Linked DNA regions of Styela clava. The protein of the gene in region 1 interacts with the protein of each later gene in a pairwise test. Links are inferred from orthologs where the notes say so. Each region holds a gene or a part of one and is shown on either strand. Other genes may lie near its edges.

The links.
Region 2: the proteins of protein phosphatase 3 catalytic subunit alpha-like (region 1) and calcipressin-2-like interact in binary tests that used the Caenorhabditis elegans proteins (3 or more experiments, as listed by UniProt). The link is inferred for Styela clava from reciprocal best matches to the Caenorhabditis elegans genes tax-6 and rcan-1.

The regions. Positions count from the first base shown.
Region 1 is NC_135260.1:10,288,577-10,304,731, reverse strand, and holds the start of protein phosphatase 3 catalytic subunit alpha-like, read left to right. Parts: upstream 1-9,121; 5' UTR 9,122-9,345; coding exon 9,346-9,400; intron 9,401-12,990; coding exon 12,991-13,109; intron 13,110-15,803; coding exon 15,804-15,885; intron 15,886-16,155. Other genes in the region: uncharacterized protein LOC144429597, read left to right, coding at 1-5,126. UniProt on the Caenorhabditis elegans protein: Calcium-dependent, calmodulin-stimulated protein phosphatase. Dephosphorylates arrd-17. Dephosphorylates daf-16 at 'Ser-319' which regulates daf-16 nuclear translocation. Dephosphorylates calcium permeable cation channel pkd-2 at 'Ser-534'.
Region 2 is NC_135257.1:2,745,875-2,761,643, forward strand, and holds calcipressin-2-like, read left to right. Parts: upstream 1-7,824; 5' UTR 7,825-7,984; coding exon 7,985-8,140; intron 8,141-9,776; coding exon 9,777-9,947; intron 9,948-10,406; coding exon 10,407-10,578; intron 10,579-10,772; coding exon 10,773-10,915; 3' UTR 10,916-11,273; downstream 11,274-15,769. Other genes in the region: BCAS3 microtubule associated cell migration factor-like, read right to left, coding at 28-94, 772-856, 1,176-1,358, 2,064-2,115, 2,231-2,322; SWI/SNF-related matrix-associated actin-dependent regulator of chromatin subfamily A containing DEAD/H box 1-like, read right to left, coding at 14,515-14,564, 14,903-15,009, 15,610-15,769. UniProt on the Caenorhabditis elegans protein: Inhibits tax-6/calcineurin A phosphatase activity and thereby negatively regulates calcineurin-mediated functions.

The DNA.
Region 1 (16,155 bases):
TAAGAATACCTGATGTGGATTCAGTTTCTCACCTAAGTTCGCGAAAGAGCACTAATAAAGAGAAGTCTGTAGCATCTTGTGTTGCTGAAGAAATGTCAACAAACACACATGTAATGACCACAAGATCAAAAGTGAAACAAAAGAAATCAACTGTTTTAACTCGGGATTGTTTGTCAAGAAATTCAAATAGACGAAGCTTCAAAACGTTTCGTAGTGCAAGTTATCGATCAACATCTGTTGTCCAATCACAAAAATCAGCTCTTAGTGAGTCGCAAATAGAAAACATCTATGAAGCACGAAAAATAAGTCAGCAAAGAAAAACTGAGCTAGAGAAACAACAGCTCGGTAACCGGTTGCAACAAGAAAAAGAAATTTGGGAAGAAAATAACCAAATTGAAGACTTGACACTGGAAAAGGAGTGGCAAGAACTCCTGCAACAACAACAAGTTGAGGAGGAAGAATTAAGAAAAGAAAAACAACGTCAAGAAGAAGAATTAAGAAAAGAAAAACAACGTCAAGAAGAAGAATTGAAAAAAGAAAAGCAACGTCAAGAAGAAGAATTGAGGCACGAAAAGCAACGTCAAGAGGAAGAAATTAGAATTGGAAATCAACGTAAGCGAGAAGCATTTATGCGTCGTCGCCAGGAAATACAACAAAAAAGAATGATCGAAAACGTTACATTCGATCGACGTAAACAAAGAACCCTGCAAGAAATCGAAGACAGAAGTCGACGAGAACTGCTGGGATTGGACATGGACTTTAATGAAACTTTAGCAGAAAGTGGGATAATTGTTAATAAATCCCCATCTGCTGTTATTGCTAATGATACTACTAATCAACAATCGACACAAAATTCTGTAACTACACCATCAGAACCTAAACCTGATGTACAAAATGCACCTGTAATGTTACCTGTAACAACTGCACAATTTTCACAACCGCAGATCACACAAGTCACCAGAACGAATATGTTGAGTACCATGAGTAGAAGGAGGACAATCGCCGGGGAAAATGGTGAGTCGGTTATTCCTGCCTCTGAAATTGAAATTTGCAATCCACAAAATGTTAGTGTGTTGAATGGTGATGTTGCGGTTGAGAATGTGTCTCATGTGCCCGAACAAATAATTTGTACTACTGGGTCATTGAATCCCAGAAATGTGTTGAATGTTAGTTCAGAAGTGGCTACTACCTGTTCTTATATGCTGAATGATAGTACCGTAGCTCCCCGGGTGAGTGTGAGTGCGTGTACTATGAACAATGTGACTCGAATACCTGAAATGAGTGTGAGTTTACCATTCACCTCACCTATTTCAATTGCTAGTCAGATTCCAATCTATACTGCTCCTAAAGCAAGTTCTGTACCGGTAGTGACTATGTCAAATAATGTCCCTTTGACAGGTGTGACCCAAATGCCTGTTATGCCTAATCAAGTTTTGTCATACCCTCAAATAATTTATGTACCCCAACCTCAGTTTGGTTTACCACCTTCGGAACCCCCTACTTTTTCTGGAGATGCTGCGGAGTACAGATATTTTTTGGATATATTTGACACTGTAATTGGAAGTAGAGTTCAAAGCCCTAAAGAAAAAATGGTGTATTTGCTTAAATATACAAAGGGTCCTGCTCATGCACTGGTCAAAGGTTGCCAGCATCGTGGATCTGAATGTTATAATGAAGCAATTCAGTTGCTTGATGAAACATATGGACGAAAATATCAAATAGGGGAAGCTTGTATAAATTCAGTTTCCTGTGGTCCTAATTTAAAATTGGCTGATAAAGATGCCCTAACAATGTTTGCCGCAGAGCTGATGTCCTGTATGAATACATTGATAGGAATTGAATATAATAATGTATCCATTATGACAATTGATAAGATGGCCATGAGAATGCCTCATTCTTGGAGGGCAGGGTGGCTGTCTGTAGTTGATGACGTTTTAAATGAAAAGAAGGTGAATTTAACAGTTGAACATTTGGCGAATTATGTTCGAAAACGAACTCGTGAAAACACGAATCTGCCTTCTAATGATTCGAACTCACCTCCAAAGCAATCGAACCCTGTGAAAGGTCTGAAACCCTATAGATCAACATTTGCTACATCAGTTGTTGATAGGCCCGTACAAAAATGTGTTAAATGCAATAAAGATCATTTTTTGAATCAGTGTGTTAAATTTCGTGAATTGAGCTATGAAGATAAAATTGAGTTTGTCAGGAACCGAAAGCTTTGTTTTTCATGCCTCGAACCTGGTCACTGGAGCAAAGACTGTAAGCGAACAAAGCCTTGTAAGGTTGAAGGATGCAAGAGAAGACATACAACGATTCTTCATCCTCCAGACAAAATCCAAATTAATCATTCTGGGACAAAAGGTGATGAATCTCCTGTTTTGAAAAATTTTGGCTCTCAAACACCTGAAACTGAAACCAAATTCAATGCTTTTGTTAATACATCTAAAAATGAAAAGGTTTTGCTCAATGTGATTCCTGTTAAAGTACGTGTTAATGGTGACAAAAATGCTATTGTGACAAACGCATTTTTTGATAATGGTTCCACTTGCTCATTCATAAGTGAGTCTCTTATGCACAAGTTAAATGTTGATGGTCTCAAGATAAATTTGAATGTTCGTACAATAAATAATGAAACTGAAAGTAAACAAAGTATCATTGTGAAAGGTCTTGAAATTTCGAACTTTGATGAATCTGAATATGTGCCATTGACGCCATTATTTTCAAACGATAAAATCGGTGTTGAGCAATCTGATATTCCCTCTCAAAAGGACGTGGATCAATTTATTGAATTTAAGAATGTTGTTATACCAAATATTAAATCTGAAGTGGGTCTTTTGATTGGCAAGGATAATCCTAAATTGCACAAACCATTGGAAGTTGCTTATGGCCCTCATGACTATTTTGCATCTAAGACTGTTGCTGGATGGATGATTAGTTGTCCACCTAAGAAGAATGACAATCAAGGTAATCCATGTAATTATTTTGTGAAAAATGAAGTGCATCCATTGTGTCAAATGTGCACGGATGTCATTGATTCGGCTAATAATGAAAAGGAAGAAATCTCTCCTCGACAACAAATGTTCCTTGATAGGGTGAGTGAATCTATTAAGTTGAAAGATGACGGACACTATGAAATTGATTTGCCATTTATAAATCCAAATTCGAAATTACCTTCAAATTATTTGCAAGTGAAACAGCGAACCGAATCGCTCAAGCGTCGATTTATTAGGGATCCAAATTTTTATTCCGAATATAAAGATTTTGTGGAAAATATGTTAACTATGGGTTATGCAGAAGAAGTTTCTGATTCTACTGAAAGTGAAGGTCAAATTTGGTATATTAATCATCATGGCGTTTATCACCCTGAAAAGAAGAAAATTCGTGTAGTATTTGACTGCTCATCTAAATTTCAAGGAATCTGCCTTAACGACGTTCTGTTACAGGGGCCGGACCTGGCCAATAACTTGGTTGGTGTTCTGTCAAGGTTTCGCAAAAATGTGGTTGCTGTACAGGGAGATATTCGCTCAATGTTTTTACAAGTGAAGGTACCCGAAAAACACAGAAATTATCTTAGATTTTTCTGGTGGGAAGACAGCGACATAAATAAACCCATGAAAGAATTTCGCATGACAGCTTATCCATTTGGAACGGTTTGCAGCCCAAGTTGCTGTAATTATGCATTGAAACAATCTGCCGAAGACAATAAACATGATTTTGATATAAGTGTCATAAATGCAATTAACGATTCATTCTATGTGGATGATTTTTTCGATTCAAGACCAAATGCCGAAAGTGCCGTTTCTCTTGTGAAAAATATTTCTGCTGTCTGCGCAAAAGGCGGATTTGAAGTTTTAAAATGGATCAGTAATGATCGCAATGTTATTGCCGAAATTCCTGAAGATATGAGATCAAAGAATTTGAAAAATTTAAATTTAGCTGTTGACGCTTTACCTCTTGAACATGCTCTAGGTATGATTTGGAGTGTTGATGAAGACATCTTGTGTTTCTCTGTTAATCCTAAAGAGAGACCTTGTAATAGACGTGGCATGTTAAGTGTCGTGAATTCTATTTTTGACCCAATGGGCCTGGTACAACCAGTGCTTCAGCCTGTGAAGGTTCTAATGCAAATGCTTTGCAGACGGAAGTTCAGTTGGGATGACCCAATACCGCCGGGAGTTGAACAAGAATGGCTAAAATGGCTTTCTGAGTTGCCTAAACTGAAGGAATTTAATGTACCAAGATGTTTTGTACCCGTGGATTACGGTGAAGTTGTAGAAACTCAAATTCATCATTTTTCAGATGCGTCTGAAAAATCATATGGCGCTGTGTCTTATCTCAGGATGTTGAATTCATCTGGACAAATACACTGTGTGTTACTTGGTGGAAAATCTAGGCTAGTACCATTGAAAGGCTCGACAATACCTAGACTCGAATTGTGTGCAGCAACTATTTCTGCGCGCAATGATAAATTTTTCAGAAATGAGCTTAAAATTGAAATTTCTGCATCTTATTTTTGGACAGATAGTACGACGGTGTTACGCTATTTGGCTAATGAGGATAAAGTATTTAAAACTTTTGTTGCTAACAGAGTAAATCTAATCAAGGAAGTTTCTGAAATTAACCAATGGTATTATGTGCCATCTAAATTGAATCCGGCTGATGTTGCCTCCAGAGGTATGTCAGTGGATGCTTTCCTGAATTATCCGGAATGGAAATCTGGTCCAAGTTTTTTATGGGAATGTCATGATGAGTGGCCTGAACAACCTGATTTCTTACATTCTGTGTCTGATGGAAATTTGGAAATTAAGAAAGAATTGCCTGAAAAATGTTTTGCTGCTGTGAAAGATCAACCATGTGTTCTTGATGATGTCGTTGCTAAATATTCAAATTGGCATCACTTGAAGAAAATAATTGCTTGGATGTTACGTTACATAAACAAATTAAAGTCAATTGTTGGATCAAACTGCAATTTGAAATCTGGACCTGTTGAATCTTTAACTGTAGAAGAAATGATTCTGGCTGAGGTGGAAATTATAAAGCATGAACAAAGAAAATACTTTTTAAAAGAAATTGATGTTTTGTTCAAAGGAAAACAAATTCCAAAATCAAGCTCTTTCATGTAATTTACAACCATTCTTGGAAAACGGACTACTTCGTGTAGGAGGTAGGATCAGAGCAGCAAATGTTGAGTTTAATGTAAAGCATCCAATTATTATCCCAAAAGAAAGTAAAATTGCTTCTTTGATAATAGATTATGTCCACAGAACAACTGGTCATAACGGTCGTGAATATGTGTTAGCTGAAATAAATCAAAAGTATTGGATCGTAAAAGGTAATGCTTTGGTGCGAAGTGTTTTGAGAGGATGTGTTCCTTGCAGGAAGAGACAACGTCCTCCTGAATCTCAATTAATGGCGGACTTACCTGAGAATCGCTTGATACCGGATAAACCTCCTTTCACATATGTTGCAGTGGATTGTTTCGGTCCATTCTTGATCAAGCAAGGAAGGAGCGAGGTTAAACGTTATGGTGTGCTTTTTACTTGTTTAGTGTCGCGCGCTGTACATGTGGAAATAGCAAACAGTCTGGACACTAGTGCTTTCATTATGTCTCTTAGAAGATTCATAGCAAGGAGAGGTCAAGTTATTGAGATGCGATCTGATAATGGCACTAACTTCGTCTCTGGTGAACGAGAACTCAGAGATGCGATTAAATCTTGGAACAAAAACCAAATTCATGATTATTTGTTACAGAAAAACATCAAATGGATATTTCAAACGCCTGCTTCATCGCATCATGGTGGTGTGTTTGAGAGACAGATTAGAACTATAAGGAAAATCTTTAATGCTATTTGCTGTGAACAAGTGTTGACAGATGAGAGTTTAAGAACTCTTATGTGCGAATGCGAAAATATTGTGAATGGACGACCGATTACTACGGTATCGAACGACCCTAAAGATTTAACTCCATTAAGTCCAAACAATTTATTACTGATGAAAGAGGAACCAATGCTTCCTCCAGGTGTGTTTGACCCCAAGGACATGTATGCTCGAAAGCGTTGGAAGCAAGTCCAATATCTTGCGGATGTTTTCTGGAAACGTTGGAGAAAGGAATTCCTTCCGCTTCTTCAATGTCGACAAAAATGGAACAAAGTGCAACGAGATCTTCAAAAGGATGACATTGTACTTGTTGTGAATGAGAATCAACCACGAAACACTTGGTTGCTGGGACGAGTCATTGAAACTTACCAGGATAGCAAGGGTAGGGTTCGTTCCGTGGGTGTTCAAACCAAACATTCCATATTCCAACGCCCTGTGACAAAACTTGTACTTCTGCGTGAGTGTGATGAAGCATGATTTGATAACTTTTCAATTTCGTTTTAAAGAATTTCTTTCTGGCATGGTTGTTGAGTGTGTTTGATGTGTTTTGAGTGTGTGGAAATCTTGTAAATTTGTGGATGCAAATTTTAAATTTCCAAGGGGCCGGGATGAAACCGCCTCGCATTTGTTTTCGTTTATTTCACACTTGACTGATTTTGTGATTTGCGTATTTTGCGATTGCAACATAACCTCACACATTGATGTTGCCATGTTTCTAGTATTGTTTTGTAGTTATTTCTAGGTTTGTATTGGGCATATCTAATGCTGCTCAAGTAGGGTTTAGTACTAGTGTAATTTATGATATTTTTCTGATGACAACCTACCCCGATTTGTAGACTGTTAACAAATTAGAACATAGAATTATGCTAATTTGTCCTGTGTTGCTAGGCCAGCTCTCTTTGTGTTGTTGCTTATTTCTGGCAACGCTCGTTCTTTCGCTCGCTGCTTTCTGGGCGGGAATGTTGGCAGTGATCATCTGCTCTCCAGTTTTGTTAGATTTTTAGTTGTTTAAGGTCTCAAGGAACCGGGTTTTTAAGTCATATATTTAGTAAAAGTTACCTTTAAATCTTTCCCAGCTCTATTCGCGTTTAGATGTTCGTTATTCTCAGTAGGCTAGGAAAACAGTTGCAAGTAGTTATTTCATGATATTTTGTGTGTTTATTTGTTAGATCTGATCAAATATAGAGCTAGTTAAAATAATAGCTTCCAGTCAAATAATTGGTTGTTCTTTGAGTTGAAGGCTACATCGTCAAGTAAGTCTTTGATTTATCGTATTTTATGCTTTATTTAGTGATATGAAACTGCAATTTTAAGGTAAACAATTGTGCTGTATTTTTGGCTTTTTCAATTAATTTGTGATTCTAAATTGATAAATATTGTGCTTTTTAAGTGCTAATTAGTTAGATGTTTAGTAAGTTTTATTGTGTGACATATTTTGAGACTGTTTTTTATTTCTGTTTAGAAAACCGTACAAATTGACAACTGTATACTGATTCGTACTTTCAACTGTAATTGAATTTCAATCGTACGTACACTGCATTTTAAACGTACTTTTTTCGTGACAACAAGAAATTTCAAAAGGCGATTTGTACGCGTATTTTTATTGTGGAGTCTCGAAACGATTCAGAGAGCAACCGTCCGTTAACGCGTGTTGGCGCTAGATAGCGACTCCGATTTGGCGCCTACAGCCTACTCATCTAGATTAGAAGTATATAGTAAATAATTGTCCCTATCCACTAAGCCAGGGGTGTGCAACATTTAATACAGGAGAGCTAAATACAAATAACTGGGTGAAATTGCGGGTTGTACCTTTATTTAACATAGACTTCTAGTAGTTGCAGACACAAAAATTTTGGTATTTATTTTATGACATGGGCATAGATAAAAAAAAAAAATTGGGTGCCGGTATAGGCTTGGAATTACTCACACGTACCAGATTAAAATAATTTAGAAAACTTGTTTCGCAGGCCGTAAAATATTTCTTTGTGGGCCACAGGTTGCACACCCCTGCAATAAACAATTTGAGGCAGTCTAGGGAGATTTAGACGATAACTGGTCACTTCCAAAATTTTAAATATATGATGCGGATGTTACTAATTATATATCATATTTTATGCATTGTGGTATAATCAATAGTGTGTCAATTTATAAAATTTTTAAGTTTAGTGATTAAATATTGATTTGAATTGGTGAAAAAAATATACTATGAAATTACTGTGTATTCGTCTCTATGATTATACTGAATATTGTAAGTTTCTCTACTTGGAACGAACGGTTGTATATTAATGAGTCGTTTCTATGAATGCCAGCAATTATTTATAGCTTTTTCTTTTTTTTTATCAGGAATTCGAGCACTAATTGATGCATATTGTAATATACTTGTGTGCTGTAGTATTACCATATCGATCATTTTATCATATTTTTATTATGTGATAATATTCACCTGCATACACTGCATGACGCATATGTCTCTCACAGCGCAGGAAGTCGCCTGTTACATGATTAAGTATCGATGCTGCGCCTATAACCTGTGCATGCAGTACGGTGATTAGTCATTGACGAAATATAATCCTAACTTGCTGACAATTTGTGATGACAGATCACAGTCATGATATTCAAGTGTGAGCAATAGGTGTGAATTGCTTTAGATCTATATATTGATTATGTGATTTATTGTTTGTTTCTGCTTGTCAAGATCAGTAATCCTCTTTGTTCTGGCTATGAGTGTGACAGCGTGTTTCAAGTTACTGGCAAGGAATAATAAATTGTTTATTCTTTCATACGGAATAAATTTTTTGCATTGATAGAAATATAGATGGTATATTTTGATCAAAGAATCTTCGTACTGATATATTTAATTCTGAGAAATTGGTGTTGAGAATAGCTTCAAAAATGCTTTGAAAGTATAAGATTTGCATTATTGATTGTAAAAAATGATAGACATTTGGGAGGGAGAAAGAGCATTTGATGCTTTTTTTCCACTTGATACAGCAAGGGACTTCCCTTTTTGTACCTTGTTTAGATTTAAAATGTACGGTATATTGTGAAAAAGGACTGTCAAGTTATAATATCTCTCTGTGTCTTCAATTTAAGAAATGTATTACCGGTATTCGAATATTTTTATTTTTTTCTAATATTTTTGTCAACCAAAATACGAACATAATATATTGAAATAATAAATACCGGTAGTAACTCAATCATTTTGGTATAGACTGGTATATTATTTAAAAACGTTTTCTCTTCTACATTTGCTTTCCAGAATATTATGGTTGGTTAGTTCTGTTTATCGTATTCGACCTTAGTCTAAGTAGTTTTCCACCCACTGAACTCTGGAACAGTTTTCTATAGATATTCAATAGGCAGTAAGCAGGTTCAGGAAGTGAGTTGCATCACTCTTTTGATTTGGATTTATTGTTTATCTATTCCTCGTGCAACTAGGTAATTTATGAACTACTGTGCTGTGCAATGAATTCAAATGAAAATGATGGCGAAATGTCCACGACAGAAAGACACATGTCAAGTGAGTTTAATTTATTTTTATCATTATTTATATGACATCTTACAAACGACAGCCATTCAAAAGACTGGGCATGAGTGCTTCATGAGCCGAGCTTCAACATTCTACAAACCCATTGGTTCTTATGGTTAACCCCAATCCATTATTAATATTAGGAGTATTAATCTTGCTTCATATGCTTGCTATCGCCAGCATCCCTTCAAAAAAGTTTCAGATGGTTTAACGAATGTCTACTGATAGACTAAAGTATCTAATCCTATGTCAAATAGTTCTCAATGTTTAAAATAGATCCAACATTAAAATATTATGATCTTCACTATTGTCACAGACTCACAAAATGTATTAGTTACCTTTGGATTAATAATGTTTGATAGAAAATTGGAAAACGATACATATAGTGTAGTAAAAATACACAAAAAATTCAGATTGTTTTGAACTTTTAATAACAAAATTATGTTGTATTTGATGTGTGCATAAATAATTTTTCCTTATTGACTTGATTATCCCTTTGATAGAGGAAATTCTTAAATTTTATATATTTACAAAAGTAGATACTTGGATATGCAATAAATTACCAACTTTTACTTCGACCCTTTATTGCTATATGACGACAAAATATATGTCCTTACTTCACCCTTTTTGAAGTATTGAACTAAAGCAGTCGATACTTACAGTGATAAATAAGCTGTATCATTTCGTTTTTCTTTGTGAAATTTAACCTTATTCAACTGGTCGAATTCGTAATATACACGGCGGCATCTCAGCATGGGGTGATATTTTATACTCATAGTTGGAGGCTGGAGCCATTGTATTCATTACTTATTCAACTGTTTGACCCTCTCCTACTTTGTATTTAGATAGATTATCCAAGCGTGTCTGTTGATTTTGTTTGTTTATGTGTATGTGTTTCTTTAATGGTTATATGTGTCCTTCATGTGTGCTCTGTTTCATCCCCCAAGGATCAAGATATCCAAACTATATTGAAGCTCTTTTTAATATATAATATGACATGGTCAGTGTTAGAGTCATATACTGCTATACTGGAATAAACTCTTCAAAAAGTAGAATTAAGTTTTGTTTTTGTTTGTAAGAATAAATTATTGATTAACTGGCTTTTAAGCACCCCAATAAAGGGGTATTTTCTCATTTAAACTGGCTCAGTAATGACTGATGGAAACTTATTGATTTAGATGATTTCAATTTAATGCATTCGACTAATTGGAATAACCACAATAAGAGAAGTTTGTGGGAGTGTTTCTTAATAGCAGTCGTAAAGCATGTTGAATGTCCAATAAAGCTAGCTCATACTTCTTTCTCATTGTTGAATTTAACATATTTGTTCGTTTATGTCAAGTCCTTTTTCGGACAGATGAAACTTTTTTTTTTTGGAATAGATTGATATTTCGTGATGAACTTGAAATGATCTTTCCACATGCAATTCGTGAATCACTGTTGTAAATTATAAAATCGATGCTAATGACCTGTTGGAATGAATGCAGTTATATCAATTTTATAACATAAATTGTTCCATTACCTACTGACATTAGCTTTGTAGTTGGGTATTATTAGCCATAACGAAAACCGCATTACATGCATGGTGTTGTCAGTTTTATATATGCAAATATGGTAATTACTTGGTTCCATTTGTTGCTAGGATCACCAGCAAATCAGTCTTTTGTTTATTTTTTCAACGATCACAGAAAATGCACAGTCATGCACAGAAACTGATACAGCAAATACCAATAACATTATATGAGTGATAGAGTTGTGAGGGACCTCGAAAGGCCTTCAAGCAGCGACATCCAATACCCTGGTACATGATTAGCGTAAAACGTAACAACTGTTGACTGTGCAGAAGTTGATAGTAAACATATTTGGGGATTTTCGCACAGAATATCGGAAAATAAATAATCTCAGAAAAAATTCACAACAAAGTAAATTTTGATGAAATATATAAAAAATAAAAGCAAGGCAAATTTAAAACCTGAGAAAAACTCTTAAAAAAGGCGAATCTGGAAAAATGTATACAAATTGCAAAAAAAACATATAAGGAACTACAAAAAAGGCAAATGTGTAATGATAACACTATGAAAAGAACACTTTCAACACTTATCAGAGGAAACCTGTCTGTATGGCATACTGCATTTTGTATATACAATGTGCCTGACTCATGGAATAAATATTTTCTTTTCACGATCAAGCTATGATTACTGTATTATACACGTATGAAAAGTATATGCAGCTTTGCATTATAGTATAAAGTTTCAATCTTGAAATAGTAGATCAGTATTTTTGTTGCTAACAGAATAAATAGGGGTACAATAGATATCATTGATAACCAGAAGGAGATCTAATTTGGCTTATCAGGATCAGTGGATGATCTGAATAGATCATTCTAGAATGCATTCGGAATACGGAATTATTTGGTTTCGGCCATCCCTGCTAGACCACCATTATATTTATTTACTTTTTAATGGAAAACTGTTTTTATTGCTTTGTTGACCTTACATGGACAGAGTTCAGGGAAAATGTTTTTATTTTTGTTTAGAGAAGTTGATGCATTACTTACTGTTCGATCCTTTTGCAGCTATGAATTTTTCATGAGTCTTCCTAGCATTCAAGAAATTGATTTATGATTTGTTAGGAGATTTATTATTGAGACATTGGGGAATGATTTTAGTCCGTTGGTACAAAGCTTCTTTTGATATCCACATTCGTGATTCATACTCAAAAAAAATATAAATTTTTTCTGAATGTATCTTGTATGTAACTAACCACTTAATCAAAAATTCAAATAAAAACAGAAAATTGCACCAAATATAGAATGAGTCCAAATAACAACGCATGAACTTCTTAAATACTTGTAGAAAATTATTTGACATTTAACTTTCGTTATTATATGATTGTGCCCAAAAGCTTCAGTAATCTAGGACATTTCTCACAAAAATTATTTTCTCTCTAGATTCTAGAATATGTTTTAAATGACCTGGGTTCTGTTTTTTGGTCGCCTTATACATGAAATAGATAGGAAAATTTATGTCAATTGTAGCATTCGAGATGATTCATTTTCAGCATTGATAGAATTTGTTTCCAAGCTTAAATTCATGTAAGCTGGTTGGCGTAGCTGTACAGCTACAAATACCGTATCATCTCCCAACACTATACTATGGTTGCTCAATCATCACACATTTTGTTGTCATAAGATGCTAAATCCAAATCATGTACCGGTACATCTTTACTATTGCCGTTATCGTTATTCTGTAACAAAATTTATCGATTAATAAAGGTCAATATGAATTGAATGTTATAATATTATCTTCATTTGACTCGGATGACTTTGAATTTGACCAAATTTTCATCAGATCTGGTGCAATGACAAATTTCACCATCGAGCGCTAATGAGATCCACTCCCACGTGAAAATAGATCATTAAAGCTTGTTTATGTTGCCTTACTTTTCAACACAGAAGTCGTTACATTTCTTCTATACTTGCAATAATCAAATCATCTGTTTTAGTTTATTTTCTCTGACAGTTTTGTGAAACAAATTAGTTAAGTTGAATCTTTTACATTTGTCTCTTTTGTATATTTCAGGTGTGCCGTTCCCACCTAGTCACAAGCTCACTATAGATGATATTTTCGATTCTAATGGTAGTCCACGAGTTGACCTATTGAAACAACATTTTGTAAAAGAAGGAAGAATTTGTGAAGAGGTATGTTATTATGGTTTGCAATTAGCATTGTTCACATTTTATAATCAAACAAGAAAGCGATGCTCAAATCTATGAACACGAAGGCTAAAACGAAGTAGTATCAAATCTTTTACTGTACCTGGGAGATTTGAATTCAGAACACGAGTACATAATTTTTAATTTTCATGTTGATTTGATGTGATTTTGAATAACGAAACGACCCATAGGTCCATGTTGTGTCCAATAATTATTTGTCCCAATTGATCTGTCAATATCAATGTGCCTTTGAATATAATTTGGTAATGGTTGAAATTTTTTCGGGTGTTATTTGCATTTTGACTGGCTACACTACAGTTTATCAAAATCTTACTTCTTTTTATCTCCTACTGTTGTTGAAACACAGTTGGAGTAACTTTATCTGTCAGACAATATATAATCTCTCAAGCAGATAATGTGGTTATGGTTCTGTTCTTTTTCTCATGGACTTATTCACCCATTAATTCTTTGAATTGTTAGAGTCATTAGCGTTAGCTGAAATAACTGCTTCGTTGATGTATTCAAATTCATTTCCAGAAAAGTTTATGTGTAAATGAATATATTTTTCAATGACTCTCAACCGATTTTCCACACAGCATTTCTACCATAATGATATCCAGTTGCTTTTTAATATTCAGAACAATATTGGGAGTGAAATGATATTTTGACATTTTATAATAACACTCGACTATTTAGCTAAAATTCCAAGTGATAAGATTTTTGACTGTGTAAAACATATTGAAACAATGACAGTATCTGAAAATGTACAATATATCTTGAAATTGGATTTTCTTGATTATATTAAGCCAAAAATATTTAAAAAATTGATTCTTTGTTTCAAAATATGAAAAATGATTTTGGTTTCGTATGTCAGTTCTGTCATTGATAGATCCACTATTCCCACTTGCAATACGAAACCTTTATAACTCTAAACTTTGTACCAGTTTGGAAAGTTTTTAAAACATTTCCTCATGAATTATTTAGTTGCCAACAAAACATTGATTGCTGCCTGAATATGTGAATAAGCATTTACCTGATGTGCCAATGGGAGCTTATTTCAATTTCATTGGTTACTTGTATTTTTTATACGAATCTCTAAAATTTGAAAGTAAACCTTATAAAAATCATGAGCTTATAAATTGTATTTTTTAAGGTAAATTTTATTAATATATTTGAGAATTTTTTACCGCTTTGATTTGGTTAGTGAATGACAGTATTTTGCTTTTGTGGTTGACATTTTTATTAAAATATTTTTCATGATTAACTAATAGCGCTATATCATAAACTTAATGATTGATGTCATATTTATTCATCTGCATAGTTTCAAATTCTGTAAATCGGCCCTTTTTTGCTTTATATCTCAAAAAAACTTCAGCAATCCAGAAGTGTATGTACCAATATGGAGGTAACTAATTTTGTTCGCCTACTTTACATCAAGTTGTGTAAAAGGACGGAAGCATATGGGCAGCAGTGTCGCTCAGCAGTGTTAGACCTCAACTCTTTTAATGAATTTCTATGATATGTTTAAAGTTTTAAATGTATTTATTTTAAAAGCAAATCTCTGTTAAGGATTTGAAATAATTTGATTGTGATCTCCACATAATTGGGAGTATTTTCCATGTGGGATCTTTAGAAAATTCAGTTAAATTTTGAATACCTAGGATTCGTTTGTTACTGGCAAATGCGTTTCATGGATATTTTTTCGCCATAGAAAATTGTGCTTTTTGTAAAACGTTTTCAAAATCCAAACATTTCTATTTATGGAAAAAGTTAATAGTTCACTATTTATGAAAACCGGTATGTTAATTTTGGACGTCCTTGTTTGTAGCCATCCGTATTTGTCGACATAACGATCTTTTATCAGTTTATTTACTTAGATCGAATGTTTGATTACCCGACATTCACTTCATGTTTGGAATTGCCCTACTTACAAAATAGAAGTTTCACTAGAAACTAAACAAATAACCTGTCATAAGTACTACAGGATGTTGTCTAATCATTAATAAAAGTTGAGTTTTGTCCTTGCAAATTTGACTAATGATTCACACAAGTATTGTTAAAGCAATGGAGTACAAACAAACTTGAGAATTTTTCAGTTTAAATCTCATCAATTTCAGATTTGTTTTCTTGATATCAGAAACCGAAGATGTATTTTGGCATGCATCAAGATTTTAGTGTGTTAGAAACAAGAAAATTGAATCTATTACACACTTGAAGAATTAATATACAAAATTTATTGGCTGAAAAGTATACATCCATTCATAATTTGAGTCAGCCATATTACTTCTGACACTGGTAATATTGTATAAAAATGGTTATTCTGAAAATAAAAGCAAATTATTTTATCGAATAATCCTAAGTTTATGAAAGAATAAAAGTGACCCTATAGTCTAATAGTTGTGAAAGACTACAGAATAGTACTGGGGTAGTAAAAATTGAAATCATATTATTTTCACTCTAAATAAGTCACTGTACAAGCAGTGATTGCTATGTGAGGACGTACCTAATTTTGAAAGAATCAAAATCGTTTCCGTTCATCATTGCCTACCTGATTACACTCTGGGTGATACATTGAGGTGATGTGTATGAGATTTTACCCTATGATGCCAAAAAACCCAAGTCGAACGCTTTCACCACAAAACCATTGCGCCCATCGTAATATATTTATTTTGTGTCTAGGCGGCATTAAGGATAATAAATGACGGGGCAGAACTTTTACGAAGAGAAAAAACAATGCTCGATATCCAGGCACCAGTTACAGGTAAGATCTATTGAATTGTTATGATAAATGTCTGTCCCTTCAGAGAATCACAAATATAAAGAGTGCTCATAATGGATGGTTTCGAATTCTGATATTTTTTTTTCAGTTCAATTATGCCAAGGTAATTCAAAATGAAGCAAAATCAATAAGACTGTACATTTTAGATTATGGTATCTAAATTTTCAGGAAACCTTTTTTTTTTGATTTTATTCAGTTTGAATTTTTTTTTATTAAACTGACATTTTTTGAAAACTTTCATTAAAACTTTAA
Region 2 (15,769 bases), on another chromosome or scaffold:
ATTCCTCAAGTCACCTCCTGAACTAACCTGTCAGCAGCCATACAAACAGCTAGCAAAGGACGAGATATTGTGTATTCATCATGCTTTTTATCACCTATAATTAAAAACACCAGTTATGTTTATCTTATAGATTACGAGTAAGATTGGTGAAAAGCATTCAAATGATTCAGAATATTAATTACAGCATCTTTCTCGATGCTTTCTCACAGCCTAAATTTGAACAATCCAAATGAGGGCTGTTGAGTCAAGAAAAATTTAGAACAGACTCCAACTTCAAATTTAATAAATGTCTCCTGGTCCAAATTGAAACAGAATTTGTCCTCAACTTCAGATTGGAGGAAGTTTTGACTCTGACTCTAGTATTGAACTATGACAAATCAAATTTAAATAACAACAACTTTGGAGTATGTGAGACTTTTATACCTGTTTGTTGAGAGTGCTTAGTCAACTCGATGTTTTGTGAGTTTCGGACAGAAATTTCAACCTCCATTATAATCATTAGAAGCCTTAAATTCAAACTCTATCAAATTTAGATTTTGAATATCGCCCCGATGAGATACAGCTCCAGTTCTCACTCCAATAACAAAATAATATGCCAGTTTACTTCACCAACTCAAGCTGATCAGAATATCGAAGATTGAAATGCAATGTACAGTTGTACACTAGAATTTGAACATACCTCTGGGACCCTCTCTCTAGTCTAGACAAAGCTTGTTACATTTATGAAGCCATCAAATTAATTAATAACATATATAGGATTCACAAACATACTTGAACTGCTTGGTGGAGGAACTAGACAAGCTGTCTTCACAGGACCTTCACGCAAAGATAAGATCTCTTGTACTTCACCATTTTCCTGGGATCAAAAGGAGTTTTTTAACAAAATTATTGAAGAATATTACACATGTTGAAAGTACTGGACTGTCCGAAATTGTCTGAACAGCATATCTGACAGACAGTACACCAAAATGAAACTGCTTATGTTAGTACTTTTACAACAATCAATTTGTCAATCTATCATGCTTGGAATATAAAATTTCCTCAAACGCTATAGATATGCTGCAGATTTGAAATCATATTTTGAAAATTCGTTCAGTTACTGGATTTATTAATTAGAATACTGAAGACTTTTATGATCATCCCTGAACAAAAGGCATCTTTTAAATCAAACTTACACATATTATCCATGCTTGTACTCCATTTTTATATCCCAGGATCAACAGCAAAGAATCAACAACATCATTTCTACTCCCATTTGTAAAACCGTCAAATTCAGGATCCAGAGCATTCTTATAATCAAATAATCTTGCCCACAGAACAGTTTCTTTTTCTTCTGCTTGAGATGTATTAGAATATACCTATTGAATATAAGAGAGTACAACATTACGAATACAGCTGAATATATTACTTTCAGATGAATAATTTTGTAGGATGGGATTTTTATATTTATCCAAGGGAGAGAAAAGTTGATAAGACACTTAATCATATTATGGTGAACAACACCCTCTTATATGGTTACCAGTTCATGTCAGGTATGAGAATGGATAACCATTTATTCGTTGCAGATGTATGGACTTGTGTAGAAAGACTACACCATATATATGAAACTCGCTACAAAAACAAAGAAGAGTCTAGAAATCCTATCGCACATGATCATCCCCCACAGAATTCTATCTGTGAATCACTGCAGGGTAATCAGAGGTGCAAGAGCTTTTCAACTTATTTTCCTAACTGAAACTTATGGTGGATTATATCCTTTGGAGAAGTGCAAGTTTCTATGTTAGATATTGAATAGGCCTACTCGCTCTTCTGGACAATATTGATATATAAAGCAATAATGTAGACAGTTTTTCTATAGTTGAGAACCTTAATCATGTGAACATATTTGGTTAAAATCTCCAGCTCCTGGTTCTGTGATCAACCAATTTCTATCTCACACATGTTAAGATAGATAAAGCAGACTTATCTTTCTATGCAAAGCTCCCTATATCTTAGTGATAAGAAATGTACAAGCAGATATTATATTGTATATAAATATGGAAATCTTATAATATAACACTTACTTGTCCAATATCATGAAAAAAATTCACCATGCTTTCCATGTAAGAACTGTCTCTGAAAAGAGTAAAATAAAATTAAATCCATGCAATCCCCAAATCGAACATGTTCATGAAGTGTATTGGTTGCTCAAGGGTAAGTTGATTGAATTTGAACTTATAAATATACTTACTTCATTGGTTGTGCTTGCACAACATGACCCGAAGGCGCGTCTCTTCGACGTCTTGAATTCATCGTTTCAAAATTTGTAATACCACCAGACATGTCTTTATTGAACTTCTAAAAATATAATAAAAGCAATTTACCAGTTACAATATATAAAAGTGAAATAGAAGCTAGCAAGGTTTTTGAAAGTGATTCATCACCTTACAGCAAGTTACAGTGTAACATATGTTCCACAAATATTGGCATATAAGTAGGTTCGACAATCAAAAATCTAACGCATAAATCATTTATGAGAGTAAATGGGAAAAAATATTCTGTTATGCAAATGAAAGAATAATCAGTTAGTTTCACTTCTCAAACAAATTCTGAATCATCGTCATCGTGTTTTTTATTGTTTGTCAAATGTTGAGGCGATCCGTCAATTTTTGCATTGAAGCATATTTTAAAATATAATTCTCACATATTATGACTCTTTTCTTCCTAGCGAGTTATTGATTTTAAACATGTTTTTATTGTGTGAACATGAAACATAATTTCTAAATAAACCTGCATTAAAAATTAATTCAATATACCTTTGAATAACATAGCTGGAATAATTGGTTGTTGTGTGAATTGTATCTGATACATTAGCATTTTAATTTTGCTATCAGTTTCTAAGAAAAAAATTAAACATATTTTTGAGTAATAATATAATAATATTACAACATTAAAAAAGTGACTATCTGAAACTTAAAACATGCATTTCCAAATCGCCTATGCACGAAAACAACGGTGATAGAAATACTTGCATTTTAAACAGATTCCAACTGAAAAAATATATCTAATTATGGCAGTCCAAAAAAATATCCTGATTATCTATTATTATTATTATTATGCACTTTAACAATACACGCACAACTATAAAAATGTCCCAACAAGATATCCCAACTCAGGTAAATATACATATAACATATACCTGAGCTGCAAATTCAAATTGATCTCATTAAAATATAATCAAGTAATAACGAACATTCAAGCCTAAGCTCTGAATAACACACCATGAATAGTATGAAAAAATTTGAGTACCTTTTGACAGGTTCTCCATATTACAAATCATTTTGACAATTAAACCCTTCGATGTTATTTTAGAAACAGATGGAAATTTTGAAACGAAATAAAATAGAAAAAAGCGACATATTGAAAAATTAAAGTGAGAAATTAAAAATAATATATGAATGCATAAATTCTCGAAAAAAAGAATACAATTCTTCTCCTGATACAGAACATAAGCATTGATTAATTCTGTAATGATCTAAGACAGTATGAAGTTATAAAGCTGCTTGATAAAAACAAGTATTGGTCAATAAACTATTCAGTTACTGAAGCAGAGGCCAGGTGTTTTACACATAATTGCGAATTTGTGAAAGCTGTAATGTAGAAAAGGGTTTCAAAATATTTAAGAATTTTCATACAACCTACTGGTAAGTATATTATTATTATCAACTTTTCCCCGATAAAATATAAAGGTTGTATAATTATGTCACATATAATTTATTATTCTAATTCCACGGATCCGGCTTATAAAGTACAATTCTGTACTATCTTTACCATCATGCAAGAAATATATCTTGACAGATCAAACACATGATGAGCAAACGTCTAATTCATCCACACTGGATCTGCTGATTTACCAATATGTCATTAAAAGTGTGCCTCTATCTAAGATGTCAACATAATATATGACCTAGTATTCTGGATTGCAAATATTTAAAATTGATTGAATAAAAGGATAGTAATTTGGTTTTGAATATAGCCATCTTTTTTAAATATCATTATTTCTGATTCATATGAAAATTAATATTTTTTTCTGTAAAACATCATATTTTTTCTGCTAAATCACCATAGTCTGTAATAATATCAAGAAAAAAAAACAGTTAAAATTGGGTAGACATGGATGCTAGAAATTGTTGAATAATAAAATTCTGAAGAACTGCAGCAGATGACTTGATAGTGCAAGCAAATGACAAATGACAAAAGTGATCATTTCAGTGACTAAGCATACTGAAACATTGTCATATCATTCAGACATTTTTTTTTTCATATTCAGCTTGCCATCCAATTTTCAAGCTGCCTGAGTTCTGCTTCATCATCTTTCACTTTTGCCACTGGAGTAGGTAGATCCGATACTGGGACATCAGGAAGTTCATTTGTTGCTGCACCCACATTCAGCAATTCTCTGTCTAGATCTTCCTGCTCTAATTCCTCAAGTTCAGCCATGAGATCATCTTCATCAATGTCTGTGCCAAATCCTACAGGACCTGACAATGCGTCACTTATTTCTTGAGCAACTTGTTGTTGCTCTTCAATGTCATCCATAACCTCATGAACATCATCTGCTGACATGTTTCCATGAACCTGTTTCAATGCTTTTGCGCCATATTGCATGTTTTTGAAAGTTTGTGCATTTGCTTGTGCATCCTGCAACGCTTCCACTTGAAACTCAATATTTGATAAAGTCCCATCCACCTGACCAAGTTGTTTTTCAAATCTCTTCTTTCTTTTAAGTGCTGTTAAGGCTAGCTTTTTATTTTTAGTGCCATGTCTTTTGGCGGTAGCAAGTTCATCTTGAATCTTTTTCTCCAAGTATTCTGATTTTTTCTCAAGCATTTCCTGTGTTTCTTTCAATTTCTGGATCGCTTCCTCTCGTGTTGGCTGTTTACTTTTACCTCCTCCAAATAACTTTGCTAATCCACTCATTTTTCGCAAAACTATTCTTCCAGTAAATACGTGCGTTTTCACTGTGCAGATATAGTTCAGGCAGACAACAATTACAATTGCACCACAAGGACGACAAAACAAAGCGATTTTTCCTGAAGCTCATCAGCTGACAAAAACAAAACAAACTTGTCGGCGGTCAACCATGTAAGAGTTGAAAGGTCATATTGCGACGCCCACTAAATATTATATTTGTCCAGTCTTGCCATTCAGTAATCAGTATTTACTTATAATAAGTATAAGTATATAAGTATAAGTTTACCAATCTTAAGATCGGTAAGTATGTTGATAGGTATTTGTCTGTGTATGTCTGTTTGTCTGTATGTTAGATGCACGCGATATCTCACGGAAGCGAGGTTGAATCTGCTTCAAATTTTGCATGTGCATTCGTTATAGCTCGGATCAGAAGCCTATTGGATGGATTATGTCTTATAGTTAGCGAGTTATTAATTAATTAGTGATGGGACACACAGTGTCACTATGGAGTAAGACCACTGTTTTGGGAGATCCCCTAACCTTCGATCGATAAGTCTTCGGTTTCTAACCGATATTCTAGTTTATTTCTTCATCATGCTGAAAGTACGAACTATACACAAATTAAAGGAAATGTTAAAAAAAAATGCATTATATGGTGAGAGAAGACGCCGAAAACAATTTCTTTTAACTGTAAATTATATGAGCTCTTTTTATAAACTACAAGTACGGGAACAGAGTACTGGCTGTTAGCGCACGCACCGCTGCCCAACTAGGGTTGCCAACCGTCCTTAATTGAGTTTTTCTATCCTTGTTCTTTATTATTATTTATTAAGTTTGTAAATTACGCATTTCGTCCATTATTTCTAACATCGCTTTCCCTATAAGAGCTGCCAAATATTTAGAATTAGATTAAAATATTGGTTGATTACTGTACAGTGCAGTTTACAATAAACAATCGTGTGCCGGAAGTGCGACTCAGAAGTTAATCAAGCTCGTTTGAGTTGTTGGTAGTGAGGAAATAGGAGGGCACGTGCTCCTTGCGCTAAGAGGATATGAAGCGGATAATTCAAGAAATGAGTAAAAATACCGATACAAACAAAACTGAACACCAACTTCCTACAAATGTAGATTCCGTTGTGACTTGCAAAACGATTGTCGACTATAGATCGTTTTTCAATTCAGCAATAACATACTAAAAATAGGTCTTGCAGGGAATTCGCTTCCGAAATATCAGAAATTGTTGAATATAGTCAATTTATTTTTCCCTCAGTAAAAAATAGCATACGGAATTAAAATATATAAAAATTTAACTCGGTTATACTTAGAGAACCGATACCACTTTTGCCGCCGTTACCGATATAAATGAAAATATGCCGATACCGACGAGGCGATATTTCAAAAAACCGATATTGCCGATATTCTGATACTATTTGATTATTACCTCGTGTACAGATGCATTACCTTAATCAATTCTGATGCATTGTGCATCGACTCTAGTAATCTCGCTGTTCAATTAGAAAATTCATACGATCCGGTTACTATGGATGGTAAAGTGAATAAATATTCACTTATCATATCAAACTGATATATTGCGTTGCGTGCGCAGGAATTTGTGCCAATATAACGTCGTATTTTGTATGTCACACATTGGATAATCTACTAATCTTCGATTGATATATTTCATCATAACTTCCCTGTAATATTACAAATGTCAATATAAACATTTGGCAGCGAAAATAGCAAATTTAGTTGAGCTAGTTTGGCTTAATAATAACTAAAAACAAGTCAGAATCAAGTTTTAGTTTCTACTCGCGGAGGAGAAATACCGCAAATGTCATGCCGCAAAAAAATAATTTCAAGATTCGTTCTCTAACATATTCTTAAACATTCGTAATCAGATTTAAAAGCAAAATATATCGGAAGTATCGGTCTACATTTAGCCGACACTAATACAAATACCGATACCAAAAAAATGGTCGATATTGCAAATAACTAATACCGATGGCGATACATTAATAAATCTTTAGTTACAATGGGTGAGGGAAAACGCGGGGACCCAATACTGGTTATTGAGCAGCCACACCCAAGGTTCTAATATCTAATAAGGTCAGGAACCAACAACGGCCATTAGTATTTATTAAACTAAACGGCAGACTTGCTCTGAACATAGATGTCCTTTTCCATGAAATCGCATTATTTAAAAAAAATTATTATTCAAAGTTCGAATTCACAATTGTGTAAATAATATCATCAAGATATATCATTAGTGCTTCGGCCCCGGGGACATCGGAGTACATAAAGATTAGACAACAGTTGCTGAAGTCGGCTCATCCGAGATTAGCCGTGGAAACAAACGGAAAGCAATAGTTCAGATTGATCCGCAGAGGCTGTAATGAAGCCTTGACAAGTAAGTCAAAGAATTGCCGTCCTGTGTGTTTGTCCTTTGTTTTGTATTTTTTTTTTTATATGGAAGTGTTCAAAATAAATTATTTATTTATATTAAAATATTTGACGAAATAATATCGCATTAATTTTTAGATCATGTTGAATGAGTTCCGAATTTCTTGGCTATTGCTAATAAGTAAACGGCTGCCACACACTTGTAAGTTTACAAGTATATGACTGACTTTAGTCAATTATCCCATATGTTAGGTTGACAAGACGATGTGGCAATAAATATATATATTAATAATAATAATTAAACCATCCTTTTCAGATTTTCTCCCATATGATACCTATACATAACATATAAATACCATTGTATGCAACAGTGAATTACTGTAAAAGAAATTTTCAATTTTTCATCTAAATTTATCCGCGTAGAATTAGTATTTAATTTAGTTATTGTTTACATTTTGAGGTTTTATATTCAGTTAACCATGGTTTTATGTCCTTTATGGCTTTTCAGTTACGTTGATCTCGGCCTATTACAGTATTGGATGAATTGAGTCTATAATTCAGTTTTCAAAAGGGAAATACTCTTGGTTTCAGAGGATACTGTATACTGGTTTATAAAATATCAACATATTCAATGCTACCTGACACGAAAGACATATCTAAGAGGGAGGCTCATAATGGCTGTGCCAGTGCGGAATTGCTCCTGAAAGAATTGGATGTTGAGGACTTGCCAAGTTCTGTTTTTGTGTGTGATGTTCCGAATATGGTGTTCTGTGAAGAAGACGTTAAGGTATGCTTGTACATTAAATACTTTATTGGCTATCTGTACATTGCAATATTGGGTCTGGTATAGTTTAGTACCACAGCCACTTCTAGTTGGCCTGGCTCAACAATTTTTGCATATGTCAATCCTAACCCCAACCTGACTACGTCACCGAAAAATTACGTCATTCCGACGTCACAGTGGCGTAATAAGGCTCACCGAAGTATGCGGATGGTCGTCCAAAACGTGCAGACGATAACCGAAATCGAGCAAGCTATTTCTCTCGTTTTCTCGTCGCAACGATCACGATAGGAGAGAGATCGCCAGCTTTAGCAAGTTCTTATCGGCGGCGCAGATGCCATTTCGAGCGATCATAATTATACTTTGGCAACCCCTATGACGTGATGGTGACGTCAGAGTAACGTAATTTTTAGATGGCATAGTCAGGTGGGGGTTAGGAATAACATATGCAAAAATTGTTATGCTACGCCCACTGGAAGTACTTGTGGTACTAAACTATACTAGACCCGCAATATCTTCTTGATGCAGAACAGTCTGACAGTAAATTATATATACCGTAATATTTGATATAACTTTAGGCAGTTAGGTGAGTGAACACTTACCACTTGTATTTGGCAATACCTTCCATATTCTATTATTGTATTATGTACGTTCCAAACCTTATTCAAGGTTTTGTTTGCTCTCTCTGATTTCATAATCAGGTTTGATTTATCCGTTTTTATCAATCATTTTATTGTTATGCTGTTTATGGAGTCGAAATAAACTTATACTTATTTGCTGATTTGTTATTCTAAGTACAGACTGACAGAACATTTCCGTAGCATACCGGTACTGTAGCCTAGGACATGCAGAAATGGCATAACTCAGTAGCCATATAGCATAGGCTCGGTGCTGTGGAGCATCATCTGTTTATGCTAAGCATTAGTAATATGCTTGCCACCTCTACCCTGCAGTAAAACTTATGTGCGAGAGAATTGCTGGACTCCTTTCCGCCATAGTGTGGTTCGCACAACGGCTGGCCGCTCACGTCTTCCTCCGCCATCTAAAACAAGCGGCTGTGGTTTGTCATATGATTAAGACTCATCGATATTCCTCTTCCCCGGGATAAATATGTAAATCCTATCCTGCAGTGGCCAGGTATTGACTTCATGATGGAGGAAGCCATAATAATCACTCTACAAAGGTGGGGGGTCCATTAACCCCCTCGCACATAATTATCCCCACAGGATTCGAACACATGGGATAACCAACCTCAACATGTTAATCAACCTCAACATTCTGATGCTGCCACAAATACTGTAATAGGAAATATTATGCCATGTATGAGTTTTTCATCATTTCCAGTTCAATGTAGAATTATTATAATAAGCTGATTTTGCTGTTTGCTCCATTTTCATGAGGTTGAGTCAAATTATGATTAAGTTGACTTGACTCTTCATAATGTCTGATTGTGGAAATCATAAAACTAGTTTCTGAAGCTGAATAAAAAATATATGGTTTTACATAATTTGCTATATCAGTACAGCAGTATAAATATTTCTGCATCATTTCTATAGTTTGTCAACTTGATTTTACTAAAGGTATTTTTGAATTTATACTTCCTGAAACTATTTTTACGGAAATTTTTGTTTAATTTTTACAGGAAGAATTTCAGAATCTATTCAGTCATTTGAATCCAACAAACTTTATCTATCTCCAAAATTTTCGACGAGTTAAAGTCTATTTTGAATCATCTATGAATGCCGCACAGGCACGAGTCTCATTGCATGGATATGAATATAGGAATCAAACAATTAAAATATATTTTGCTCAGGTGTTGATTATATTTATTTTTTGTTTTGTGGTAATCTGTTTGCTATTGTGATGACCAAGTGGTTACCATGACGAACTCGCCAGCTCAGATTCGAGCCTTTATAGTTTATGTGTTAGTCCGACTCTATCTCTTTATCAAGACGTGCCAAACTAGGCTTGCTTTTGAGATATTAAAAATATTGAGATATTTCAACCGTACTAGATGCACTTCTCTGGAGTGACTGCATGTAAACAAGCTGTCTGAAACACTCGCACTACAATTGATTAGTATGCATTGTGCATCATAATGTAGTAGCAGTAATGTGTTGTATAGATTTTGCACTGTGGTTTTAAAGAATAAGTGATGTTGTGTTTTCCATCAGTATTCTTGAGTGGTTCTGATATAGGCTATAACTAATCTTGTTTACTAGTAAAAATGGCTGCAATGTATACCAAAACCCTTAAAACTGCCAATATCTAGATTCAGTCAAGTTCAGATGATGAGTCATCAGACAGTCTTCTTCCTCCAAAACCTGATCGATTGTTTTTAATTTCACCACCTGCATCACCGCCAGTTGGTTGGGAACCAATACCAGAAAGTGAACCTGTTATTAATTACCATCTTTTATCAGCTATTGCTTCCCTTCAACCTGGTAAGACAATTTCATAATTGGCTTAATGAATGACAATGAATAAAGGATTTAATGCATAAATGTCAGTGAGGCTTTTGTTATTTAAACAATGCCTAACATGGGGATACTAATTCAGCTATTTAGTAAAATTTAGATTTACTTGTACTTAAAAACAATTGAAATAACTTGAATAATGCTCAACATTTTTCACACAGGTGAGAGCCATGAAATTCACCCAGGAACTTTGTCAACACCAAGCGTAGTTGTCCATACATGTGAAGAGGATGAAGCAGGAAGTTCTGTGGGGCAGCCTAAATTAAAAATACAACAAACTAGACGACCTGATGCTCCCAGTTAACCACAAAATAATAATATTTAAGAATAAAAGCATGTATGAAAAAAACACTTGAATCTACTCAGATTTACGATCATTGTCTATTGTAATCTGGGCATAACGTGATCATCTATCATGTATCGGCAACTTGTAAATATTGAAGCAGAGCAAATTTCTTATATACTACGTTTTATTTCTATCATTCATTTATTTTTGCACCAATGCACTGTGAAGCTAAGTCCAAATCAAACACCAATGATATACAAGTTGTCAATACTTTCAAATCAGCGCTGAACAGGTTGGACTTGGCTTGTACTGTGTACCTGCATTTTCAACATTTCACACAATTTATTAACGTCAATAAATTCCTGGTTACACCACGCATGGTTTGTACCGAGTAATATTAATCTTTTTTTATTTTGTGCACTTTTAACGTTTATGCTTTGTAGCATACAATCAACTCTCGCCTCCAGACAAAAATACATTGTTGTGGAAAGTGAAAAAACCTTCGAGATTCGAGAGGCTGGAACATTGAAGGTAGAACCATCCTTGATAATCTTGATCGGAGGAGGCATACGCATCGGTTAACAAGATATATCAAGAAGTTTACTCAATACAAGGATGTCTTGGTCAATGACTAGTTGACTACACATAACCACCGGCATATATTTCATATCTGCCTGGACTTGTTGCGTGTGCCCATTTTTCAACAAGAATCACAAACCCTTACACCAACACTATGATCGGGGGCGAAGTAGTGGAATTTACTAAATTTAATTAATGAAGGTTTCACCATGTTACATTTCCGCAGTGTTTGGACGACCACACGTTTCACCATATTACTGGCGTGATTAGGCTTCATAGGATAGAATTTACCTATTTATCCCGCCGGAGAGGAAAGTCGATTATTCAGTCAGTCGTTTGTTCTCGGAAGTATGGACTTGATGGTAGAGGAAGCCGTAACCGAGGGCGTAAAGCAGGGGTCGGCAACCTACGGCCCGCGGAGCAATATAATCAGGCCCGCGACGCTTCACTGAATCATAGTAACAAAACAGCTGTTTTGACAATTATATTCATTACGTAACAGAATTTATTCTGAGACACGTGTAGACTAAATTATATTATAACCTAACAAGTATATAATTCCCAATTACTCGTTGAATGAGCCTATATTTTAATTATAATTGGACAAATGGCAACAAAACGCAGAAAAGTTGATGCTAAGTGCAATTGGTTTAATGGCGCAGAAAATATTCAAACGGTCCGTCTTCGGGCGTAGCTAAAAATTAAACTTCTGATCTGTGTGAAAAAATGTGATTCATCGGCCATCCGTTCGGAATTCAGAATTATCATAAAACTTGTTTTGAATATGAATTGCAGCTGACCAAAATGTCTCCAAATGCTTGTTGAAGATCACCAAGAACATCCACATGAAACATAACATAATCAATTTATTTATTAATTGATTTGTTAATAGCCTTACGTTCTTTGTATTGTCGAGGGGCGGTTAGATAGTGATGTGAAGGGGCAATGATACTGTACAGCAGTGGTCGTCAAACTTTTTGAGACGCGACCCCATTTCAAAAATTATGACGTATGATAAGCTTGTGACTCCTAGGTATAGCAAAGAAAAAATATTTCAAACCACTAAAAACTAATCACAGTAAATCTCATTCCCAAAAACTCTATCACACGCTTTGGATTTCGTGTTACAATTTAATATTGCCGTCACACAATAGCCTTATTATACAAGATATCACTGTAATTCAGAATACCCAAACTTGCTATGTAGTGCTAGTCAGCTCAGTTTAGAATGCACGCAATAGAATAATGAAAAATATAACAAGAATACAACGCCGGACACTCGGCGACCCCCGAAATATTCAAGGCGACCCAACTTGGGGTCGCGACCCACACTTTGGTGACCACTGCTGTACAGTGTACATCAAAGTTTGAATACCACTGATCTAAATAACAGCTAACCAATCAGTCATTCAAACCCAAACGGGCGAGAAAGCCGTAACTGGCCAGTGATCACATGAACCAACCACCCTTCGACAAGTTTACTAAATATCTCGCGAATATTTATACAACACAGGATCTGAAACAGCAAATTCATACCATGTAATTAATGATGTAGTACAAAACATATTCCTAACATTTTACAGGGTTCGCCAATAACGGTAATATTTACGGAACAAATTTATATACACTCATATTGCATGCTCCACAAAAATAATAGGAAAGGCTAAAATATTTATAGAAATTCTATGGAACACAATCCAATAACCTAATTGCGGTAACTGCCTCAGCTCTTCAGATACAAAGCAACAACTATTCCTCCTACATATCGCCAAAAGGTGGGCAAAATTGAATAATTTTATCGAATCGAATGTTTTTAATATATACACAACAGGCGTCCAGAACGCTTGACTTTATAATGCTGGCAAGCTACATTTCCGCCCGCTCTCTTTTTCACAAGAACGGATTCTTACCGTCCTTGATCTTCCTCATCACCGCTTGTAAACTACCCGTCCCAAATTTGGGCTAATGATATTATCATTACTGACACCGAAAGATTATAGTTGACCTTCTTCTTATGATTTTACTTTTCTATTGTCTCCCTATTATTTTCATATTGAATAAAAAGTCGTCACTGCAAGAATCCTGAATGTTATTTTGAGTTGAAATGATTAAATAAATTGGCTATAATGGCAATTCTGGTCAAAATATACGAGAAATTTCACAGAATAACTCGCTATCGTGTTTCACGTTTTTAAATTCAAGAAGCGGTGTAGGCACTCTATGTAAAACTAAGAATTGGAGCGATACCCAAACAAGGCTTCTCAAATTTGTAGTTCTTGTCTGTTGACGGACTAATTCTCGCGGAATTCAAGTGATCGGTTTAGTGACGCGGTAGCTCCGGGTCTAAGCAAGAGGTATAGGTCACGTGATACTGGTATGACATTCTAATATTTGAGAGAATCACATGAAAAGCCTATTGTTACGTAACACTGTGTCGACACGGCTCCCCGTTTCTCGGTTGGCGATCCAAGTTCGCCCTTCCAAAAATTATGGAAAGTATTTGCCCCGACTATGACATAACGGAGACACATATGTGTGTATTCTCTGCATGATTGCAGGTTATTAGTAGGAAGAAAAACAACAAAAACTCAATTAAAAAGAACAATGTGCATTATGTAAAGAAGGTGAATGTAGGAAATGAGAGTTGCAAAAAAAAGAAGATGTATTGAGGCCTCTGTACATTTTAAACGTAAACTTAAGCCAAACGTAATCATAATTTTACTGTCTGGTACTGTAAAAATAATAACTATTCATAACCACATTAGGGTTGTTCTACCAACTTACTAGAAATCTATTTACAAAAATAATTAACGGTCAGCGAAAAATGAATCCAGTGGTTAAGCAATTAACTAAAAGAATGACATTGAACCAGCTATTTGGCAAGCAAGCAAATGTCGTGTTGTCACTAAGAACATAAACTAGAAAAAAGCAATGCCGATTCATACATGGCCCAAAGATGGAAAGAAGAACAAATGGATGGGCGAGAAAAAACTGATATAGAAAAAAATCAGAAACAACTTCAATGAACATGAAACATCTCATTTAGATAAAGTTTTCTTCAGTAAAGATGCAATGTCACTGCTGTCATCTGAATATAATAGAAATATAATTTAAACTTGAGCACTCGTTAATCCTGACCAAATCATTGAAGTATAGCTATAATTCCGGAAGCCGCAATATACTTCATCTTTTAGTATCAGATGACAAATATGTATAAAAATGTATAGAGCATTATATTAAAATATTCCAACATCCCTAATGTTCATGGGATGTGTGTCCTTCATTGCTAATTTTGATTCCTTTTTACCAATATAAAACTGGTATCCATCTCAGAATATTGATACTCAAAACGGTGCAATAATGGCCATTATTGATATTATATAATATATTGCTTTGTCACTGTACTTGAGATCATATATACTGTACCCGAATTCGATGTCATTTGCTGCTCTAATTTTAATTTATTTTCAGCCATTTCTAGCATTCCTTCTTCAATAGTATCTTTACTTATGAGTTTCATAATTTTTACATTCCTAAATAAAAAATAGATTGTTAAAAACTGTCAGAAAATCAGATTAGTAAATTGTAATGAAAAGTTGAATATCATCTTTCATAAAACATAATGAAATGGAGTCATATTGAGACCAACCTAAAAAAAGAAGGTTCGCCCATCTTGTGCTAATGAATATATTTTCCTGCGTCATATAGAATGTTCTACGGCATGAATGACCAAAGATAAATAATTTACCATTCTGAATATTATACATTATAGAATAATATCATAGAATATGAATATTGGATATATTCTAAAGCAGGCCTCGTTCAACGAAAATTATGCGTGAATTAATGTGAATTAGTAAGTAGTAGCAGAGGTGTATACATATTTTTCGCAGTGCCACAATTACAGAAAGTCCATTTTTGTCCAGCCATCAGGTGCTAAATATTAAGATACTATACTATACCGAATATAACCAATTTTGGTAACTTCTTATGGTTAACTGCCGATTTTGATTGAGATACTAATATGACAATTGTACACATCCTATCACCACATACGAACAAACTTGCCTAAACGAATGTGCCATGTGTGTTAATGTTTATCAACAACAACATTCAGAAATAGATACACATACTTTGTTTGTCCAAGACGATGACATCTATCCTCAGCCTGTTTGTCATTGTATGGATTCATATCAATATCATGTAATATAACAACGTTTGCCGCTGTCAAGTTGATTCCTAAGCCTCCAGCCTTTGTGGACAACAAGAATACCAATATGGATGGATCAGACT